Solanum lycopersicum: one gene and its partner. The protein of the gene in region 2 binds, or shares a complex with, the protein of the main gene of each other region. Links are inferred from orthologs where the notes say so. Each region holds a gene or a part of one and is shown on either strand. Other genes may lie near its edges.

Region 1 (4,565 bases), about 42 Mb from region 2:
CAAAGGTTGATTTGGAGAGGTCTCATATGTCGCAACTTAGCAAGACCTAAAGCCCTTTTTATCTTATGGCTGCGAATCCAGAACACTCCTACAACAGATAGGTTGCTGAAATGGAGAATGCAAGTAGATCCTAAAGTGTTCTGTCTAAGCAGGAAGATGAAACAAGAGATCACTTATTTTTTGAGTGTGCATTTGCCAACTCCTAATGGAGGAGAGTACTCCAATGGACAACTATCAGTCAACCTCCAAGCACCACTTGGAATGCCACAGCAGATCATCCAGAAGATCAAAGGGAAAAGCCACCAAGCCCAGCTACTACAACTAGTATAAACAGAATTTATCCATGTCATCTAGAAGGACAGGAACAATAGAGTTTTTTAGAGGACGGAGACTAAAATAGAGGATATTGCTTGAAGAGTAGCTTGTGTTTGTTGTGTTAGAGCTACTGTCTGAGACAGGCTTTTATTTAATAGATAGATGTAGCTTTTAAGTCTCTAAGATTGTAAGCAGACTGCAGATATTGAGATAACCAGTTTATAAGTAGGACTGGTTTAGCTTTGTAATTATCTACTTTGGTGATAAATAAAATTCAAATTACCAAAAAAAAAATCCCACTAAGTTGGGTCTGGGAAGGGTAGAGTGTAACAGACCATATCACTCCTCTTCGGGGTAGAGAGGTTGTTTCCAAAAGACGCTCAAGCAAATCATAGCCAAAAAAAAAAAAAAAGCAAATCAAAGCGTGAATAATTTTTCTTAAGAAAAACATTTTCCAGATTTTGCAGTTCTAGAATACTGAAAACATTCACCTTAAGGAATACATATCCCTCCAAATCACTTTCTATCATACCAAAGACATTCCTAAGTGATTAATATCAAGGTACCTTGAGCCGTTGGGAAAGATCCTTGAAGCCGTGTACAAGTTGAGGCCACAGGCGCTCACGGTCAGTACTCTCCATGCCTTCAAGTTTGCCCATTGCCTCTGCCCACATTATCTGGCAATGCAAACTAATTCATTGCATTTACATAACTCTCAGCAAGAAACAAGCAATGAAACCAGAATGCCTACACTGAAATAAAAATTTTAAACATATCAAACTCACATCAGATACCCCTGCAGGTTTCGTCCTATATTGAGGTTCCGTCACACTGGACAAAAGATGCTGCAAAACAACCATAAGTGCAAATAAATGAGAAGGATGTAAGCGCCTCTATACACATCCAAAAGATGGAAACCCTCCAACCATAATCTATTAACAACTGACATATCATAACAAAAACAGAGTTCATAAATATCTTCACAATGCTAGTGAATGACTCGAATAAAATAGATAAGCAATTCAGTGACTGCTTCACAAGTGACAATATACGATTGTTTATCTTAGATTTTTCATTTGATTCACTCACCTCTTCAATATGACCTAGCCTAGTAGGAAAAGAGATCAAACCTTGAAAGCATATTTACGGTTACCAGGCTCCTCCTTGTACGCATCAACAATTGCCTGATACAGATGTGAAAACAGACAACTATAAGGAAACGAGTTCAAGTTGTAGTAGTCACCCCATAAATAAGGATTGATTGATCACCTGAATAAAATGGTAAGTAACCTGCTATCCAAAGGAAAGACATTCTAACTAAAGGAGGATTTGTTTTAAGAAGACCCGCACTACCAACCCTCGGATAGCCACAGTTAAGGACAGCTCCTTGGTGGTGGCTCCACTATTCTTTCAAAAAAACTACTCCCAGGTCTTCCTTATTATCAAGATTGAAATACTTTTTAAGACGATTTGAAGAAAAGGTCCAGAGTTGCCTATTTTTACGTCTAAAATCAGGAGTTTAAGAGTTCAGATAATATTTTAATTTCTAGTGTCTGGTAGAGATTAGAGAATTTTAATTGTTTCTGCAAACATTTAATGATTCTAGCATCCACCAATTTTTCTCAGTAATGTTATGAATAAGATAGAAAGAGTGTTTCTTGCTTATTTGAAGCCATATGAGGCTTTCTTCAATCAGCAGAGGAAGCCTGACGTGACTTGATTAATTACTAAAAGTGCTTTACACTGTTAGCAATTGTCCAATCCAGCTAAGCTCCCTTCATCAGATATTTGTGTTATTCATATACGTAAATTAAATTAGTCTATTATCTCCTTTCATATTTTTTTTTTCAAATGAAGCATCTTCCCAAAGAAAAAGATCCACCCTCACCCAGTCAGGTCCGGTAGCCATGGCTTGATGAAGTTGTTGTGCACATAAACAAATATACTTAGAATCGTGATGTGCACAAAGATTTGAGAGTAGAGAAATTACTTGGATATCCCTATCAGCGAGAGAAAAGGGGAGTGGAGCCACGGGAGCCATCTGAGTAGTCAACTGGGCATTTGCAAATGGAAAGGAAGTACCAAATGGACTGGATTGGGCCAGTGTTGCAGTATTCAAGGGTGTGGAAAAGCTGAAAGGGGACGAACTCTGAGGTGTTTGAAATAAGGAAGTTTGTTGCTGTTGATGTGGCTGTGATTGCTGTGAAAATGGTGTTGAAAATAGTGTCGATCCAAAACCAGTGCCAAATGATGAAGTTGACGGCGTGCCGAATGCTGGGGTTGATGAAGGTGTGCCGAATGCTGGGGTCGACGAAGGTGTGCCGAATGCTGGGGTTGACGCAGGTGTGCCGAATGCTGGGGTTGACGAAGGTGTGCCGAATGATGGAGTGCCGAAGGCGGAGGAGGGCTGAGCTCCGAACATTGTTGCAGTGGTGGAGATGGTGAGAAAGGACAAACCCTAGGTTGGCTTAGGAAGTAACTATGAATTTCAACGCATTTGCCGCCATTTTCTTTTGGAATCGGGATTCTTTGTTAGTCCTCAATAATTAATTAAGATTTAGGACTCATTTGGCGTGGGAATAAGTACAAAAATTGTGGGATAGAAAATAGTTGTGGTATAAAATTTAGATTTGTTTGATTGATATATTTAAGATAATTTAATTCACTATTTATAGCAAAGTGATGTCTTGCGTCCAAATGTTATATGTGTATTATATCACGTAGGATACACATATCTATTTATTTAATGTTATATAAGTGAAAGAGTCAACTTGTGCACAGTCAAATTAAGAATCGTATTTATATATTATGCCTTTAGAATCTACCTTGAAGAATCAAATTTCACTAAATTATACGGTATAAACTCAAATTTCATAATTCACTTAATTATATATTAACATTGTTGTTCATCTTGTATTCTAAACATACTTAGAACGAAACTTTGAACATCTTTGCTAGAAAATTAAAACTAGTAGCGAAACTAAAATCAGAAATAAATTATTTAAAAAAAATATACGAAATAATTTTTTTAAAGAAGAATTGTTGTTAATATGTGTCTAAAGAATCTTACTGATTCCAACAAACTTTGCAGAAACACGAAGTTACCAAATTTAATGAACCAGTGAAGAACAAAAGAATAGAAGAACTGAAATTAATTCACAAATCTAAAGTTTGTAAAACACATACCAGAATCTGGAAAAATTTTAATAGGAAAAAGATCAAGTCCACTGAATTCATAATGTCCCCTTAAGGAAATTATTCCCCTCTAGTATCCTAGGTTTGATTTGGAATATGACCTCCCAGGGTAAAATGATCTCAATCACCAAAGTATAGATACCAAAAACTCCGGTGTCATCGAACCACTCAACGGCAATAAAGTACACTTAGAATACTAGATTTAGTAGTTGAAGAAGAAGTCCATGAATTCTATATTAAAATGAGAGAAAATCCCTCAATTTATAGAAAACAAAGGGTAGTGCGAAAAGGTTCTTATTGTGCCTTACCGGAAAGGTCACAAACCTTTGGAAAAGTCACAATCTTTCAGAAAGGTCGTCACCTTTCATAAAAGTCACAACTTTTCATAAAAGTCGCAACATTTCATAAAAGTCGCAACTTTTCATAAAAGTCGCAACATTTCATAAAAGCCACAACTCTTCATAAAAGTCGCAACTCTTCATTTTCCATTCACACCTTTTCAAAATCCAACAATCCGCCGCATGAATGGGGAATGACTCGAAGACAAAGAAACGGACAAGTATGTGTACTTTACAAGCAAGAATTAATTGCATCTGGATAAGTAGGTTTCCCCTTGGACTTTCCGTAGTGAACATATGTCGGATATACTCGGTCAGATGCGATATCTTGAACCGTCGAACTTTGGTGTATACCTAGAAAATCATATGCCACACAATTAACCCTTTACCATTTATGGTTCTTACGGTTGTGTTCGTTTTAGCCATGAACACCTCCTGGTTTCATAAGTGTATAGAGAGATGGACTTTTGATAATCATCTTCTTTGAAGCGGCTTACACTTCACTACTCACATAGGTGATTTCTAACCGTGTTATCGCGTAGATACATTATTTGGTCAACTCTGCCAAACATAGCAAATCATTAAAACCATTAAGCTTTATTAACTCATTAACAAGCCTTAATATTGTATCCTTGTCCATGAGCATTGTCTTCATCATGAGAATGAATTGAGTTTATTGACAATGCCGAACCTTCATTCACAACTTTGTTTTCTCCT
Region 2 (4,567 bases):
TTGTGATTTCTTCCCATCTGCACACAAGCTGGCCTGAACAACACAATTATCAAAAATAAACATTTTTTAAGAAGAAAGTAAAAAAATGCAAGTACCAGATTGGAGAGTGGTGAGTCTGTTTTGAGCTTCTTGTTCTTAGCAACCTCAGAAACAGCATAAACACCAATAGATCTGCTTTTCGAGTTCTGAGACGAAAAGGGTTTCTTCATATAGAGTTTCTTAGCTGATCCAAGAAAAAAGGAGCTATCTTTAAGCTGATTTCCCAAAAGGGTCTTCTTGTTGTTGTTGTCAATGGATCTGGTGGAGTTGATGGGCTGCGAAAAACTGTTAGCAGTAAAAGAAGAGGCTGATGCAGCCATGATTACAGAGAAAAATTTGATGGATTTTATGGGATTGTTAAAGAAGATAAAGTTCGATATATAAAGGAAGCAGTGAACGGAGAAAACAAGAATGGGGAAATGTAAGCAAATTGTTGGATTAACCGTCAAAAGAACTCAAAAGGGGGAACTATTAAGGGCCACCCTCTCGATATCGTTTCGTGTTTGATATTTATATTAAAATTTAATTTATTAAAACTTACGAATAATTACGTAAAATTCATTAGGAGAAAATGTTTTTAAAATTGAGATTTTCGATTAATTAGGGTTTTAAATATAAAAAAATGACAGTTTTTATATAATTTGCATTTTATCGATTCATATTTAATAACTAACTGATTGAATTCTCTTTTTATTCTCATTGAACGTGTCAATTAAATTTATTGTAAGATTCATAATGATTAATTTTACAAAGATTTTCTCTTATGCTTTTGCACTCGAGGGTTAATTTTTGTTTGATTTGAGTAAATCTTTGTAGGTCTCTATTATCTTTTTGAGATGTTTATAATTCATAAAATACTTTGATCTGAAATTGTCTCTTGATCGATGCTATTAATTTTTTTTCTAAAATTTAGCGTCTAATCAAAATAAAAACATTTAAAACAAATTAAATTGAGTATAAGCTATAATATTTAAAATATTACCAAATTTTAAATTTTGTTCTTGTAACATCTCTAATCTATCTAAGCAAATTTAACCTTTAATTTTATTCTTGTACTGTCTCTCATGTATCTAAGCAAATTTTAACCTTTAATTAATTGATGATATGCATAGATTTTAGCCCTCTGTTTATAAATCTCTACAATTTTTAACAAATTATATATCACTACAATTATTTGACTATTTTATCTTATGTCAAGTGTGCATTGTTTTCTGCATATGAGGGTAATTTAGGTATAATATATATAATAGACAAAAAAGAAACTCATATATTAGTTGTAACTATAAATTGAATATCATTCTACATGGAACTAAAAACAATACTCATTAGCCTCTAAAAAATTACAATTAAAAATAGAAAAACCATCGAGATTTTTTAATTTTTTTCAAATTTTGAGTTTGAGTTTTGTAAAAAACTTTAATTTTTAATATGAAACTTTTTTTTGCATAGATTGAGATTTAATCGGACTTCAATACAGAGTAAGAGGCGAGAATTTTATTTTTTTTTTAAAAAAAAAAGACTCGCCCCCGTCTCACCCCCCAACCCCCCCCCCTCACACCCACACCCACCTCCTTCTTTTTTAAGTATTTTTTTTTATAAATAGACCCAAGATTTTGAAGCTACAAGTCAAGAAAAAAAGAAGCAGCAAAAAAAGGACTTAACGCTATGCCTCCAAGGAAAGAACCCTGCAGAAATTTTATGCGTGGCAGGTAAAAATAACTAAAAAATTGGTTTTAATTTCAATCTATATACTTTATTATGCATATATTCATAGGATTCTTGATTAACCCTTGAAACTTTCATGTCAAAGATTCAATTTTTATTTAGTATTATTCTTTTGCTAATCGATATAAAGGTGTAGAGTTGAGTAAAAATAGTTTCTTTGAGCATTTTATTGGGTGGGGATGGGGGTGAAGTTGTTTAGGATTGATGGGAAGTTGGTTGATTGATTGTTGTACTTAATATTTATTATAATGGTTGAAATATCCCAGCTAAGTAAAGTTATGAGCTTTAGCATCAAAGGGTGTTGTAGATGGTTAATGAAGTGGGTTGTAAATCATGATGTCGCTAGTTTAAATCCCAATGTAGGTAGAAACACTTGGTGATTTCTTAAAATTTGTCCAGGTCTGGTGGATAGAGTTATCTGGTATGGCCGGGGTGGGGGATGAATTTAGAAAATTCATATTGCCTTAGTGGTTTAGGATTGATGGGAAGTTGGTTGCTTGATTGTTGTATTCAATCTTTATGGTAATGGTTGAAAGATCTTAGCTAAGTAAAGTCATGAGCTTTAGGGTCAAAGGGTGTGGCCGGTGGATAATAAAGAGGGTTGAGAATCATGATGTCTCATGTTCAAATCCTAGCAAAGGAATAAATATTACTCCCTCCGTTTCAATTTGTTTTTCTTATGATGTCTCATGTTCAAGTCCTAGCAAAGGAATAAATATTACTCCCTCCGTTTCAATTTGTTTTTCTTACTTTTCTTGTTATTTTGTTTCAAAAAGAATGTCTCTTTCCTTTTTCTGGGAACTCATCAAGAATGAATGTTAAGCATGCCTCTTATTTACATTAGTGTGGGATAACAGGGACCTACCAAAAGGTTAAATGAAGGGGGGACAGATCCCCGGTTGAACCTTTTTTATTTTTTCATATATCTGGATATATAAAGCTAGGTTGGGAAGTGAACTCGCGGGAGGTAGGGGGTTGTGTTTCCTTTTCAAATTACATAATATTGACCTAAGATCGAATAATAATTGGTATGATATTCCATCTAGAACTTAGAAAGGTGGTGTTTTTGCTGTGATGTCTTAGAAAGTAAAAATGATGTCTTTAACTTGAAACATAAAAATTCTTAATTTAATTAGTAGTTCTTTATGAGAGTTGAGTAATCCTTGTTATGAATAGGTTCCTTTGTTTGAGTATGAAAAATAGGATCTGATTGTTGTCTTATTCATCCAGCTGTCAATATGGTGAACGTTGTAAATTTCTTCATGCTGCCCAACAACAACCGAAGCCAAATCCATTTGGATTTGGCAGTCAATCCACTAATTTTCAGAGTACAAATATGCAGCAGACAAAGTCCAACCCTTTTGGTTTTGGTGTTCAGAGCAACTCCCAGCCAAGAGGTTCTAGTGATTTGGGGCTCAAACAGAATCAATACAAGGTACTTTAGCTGTTACTCTCTAATTATAGCTGTTTGCTGCAGATTATTTAGCATTTATTATATTTATTATAAATAATATGCTTCCTCAGTACCATTTTTGAGGAGTCCTCTCTCCATATTTTCAATTTTACCTGCTAATACATGCCAAGCGATAATGGCTCTCTAGATATTTTAATCCTAGACACTAGAATTCATATCATTCTTTATCTTCATGTCTCAACAAGTGTTAACATGTTGTAAGTGCTCAATGGTATTATCTTAAGAGTTGAAGAAACGGTGGTGAGTCATAAAGATAAAGAATTGGAAGTAAGAAATTTAGAAATGTCCCATGGGTATGGCCTAGTCCCCAATGAAGTGGGTTGAGAACCATGAGGTCTCATGTTCAAAGCCCAACGAAGCCATCCTACTCCAAAAAATTGAAACGTCACCTGTAGATCTTGACGTCACCCACTCTAGTCCCAAAATACTGAAGAACATCTGCCAAACTTAAAATCAGACTGAACAGTGTAATAATAGAGGATTCATTTGTTCCAGAATTCTCTCAACTCATGTAGCATCTATTACTTAGATAAAAGCCACTTCTTTGCAAGTTGTTTTCGCTAAGGCAAGCTTCTTCCTCCGTTTCTTTTTTTGAAATGGTAACACAAACTTCTTTGTTCAACAACCATACAAAACACGTAACCAAGTGGGGGCTTTTGATTTCCAAACTTATTTCCTATGAACCTTCAGAATTACAAGGGTTTGTCCTGTTAGAACATTGTAACAAGACTTCAAAGTGAACTTCCCATTCATATTTCCTTTCCGTTCCAATCTGCCATTGCTGCTATTTAAGCCTTGAAAGTTATATGAACCATTGAAAATTCAGTCATGTCAGGCCTTACATTTTCTTAAATATGTGTTAATAAGAATGTAGCTGTTGTGGGGTTTACATATAGAGAAGGAACAGGATTTTGGTTGACAACATACGAGTCCTTCTCGTTAATTGAAAAAGAAGTTTCAATAGCAAGACTGCTACGAAATTTTATATGCTATCTGAAGTTTCATCTTTACAAGGCCATCTTTTAATTTCAGCGAACAAAATAATGGCACTGATGCTTTCTTCATACTAAAAAGTCACATGAATCTTAAGGAAAGGTTGATAAAGGGAAACATATGGAGTTAAATATTTTATAATAAGTTTGTGGAGTCCAATACTTACTGTTTTGTATTTGTGGTTATTAAAATTTTCCAATGTACATACTGTTGTCACCAACAGCAGTTTACTGGTGAGTCAATATTTACGTATGGTCCTTGTAACTTTCAGTATTATTTCTTTATCAGATCAGTGACATATTCATGTAATACAACTATGATTGTGGACTTTTGCAT

What was found.
Region 1: zinc finger CCCH domain-containing protein 16 (region 2) and nuclear pore complex protein NUP54 share a complex: the UniProt entries of both Arabidopsis thaliana proteins name them as parts of the nuclear pore complex. The link is inferred for Solanum lycopersicum from reciprocal best matches to the Arabidopsis thaliana genes AT1G75340 and AT1G24310.

The regions. Positions count from the first base shown.
Region 1 is NC_090811.1:44,743,092-44,747,656, forward strand, and holds the start of nuclear pore complex protein NUP54, read right to left. Parts: upstream 2,989-4,565; 5' UTR 2,738-2,988; coding exon 2,306-2,737; intron 1,500-2,305; coding exon 1,446-1,499; intron 1,161-1,445; coding exon 1,101-1,160; intron 993-1,100; coding exon 882-992; intron 1-881.
Region 2 is NC_090811.1:3,099,840-3,104,406, reverse strand, and holds the start of zinc finger CCCH domain-containing protein 16, read left to right. Parts: upstream 1-1,615; 5' UTR 1,616-1,704; coding exon 1,705-1,748; intron 1,749-2,994; coding exon 2,995-3,199; intron 3,200-4,567. Other genes in the region: pyruvate dehydrogenase E1 component subunit alpha-3, chloroplastic, read right to left, coding at 96-359.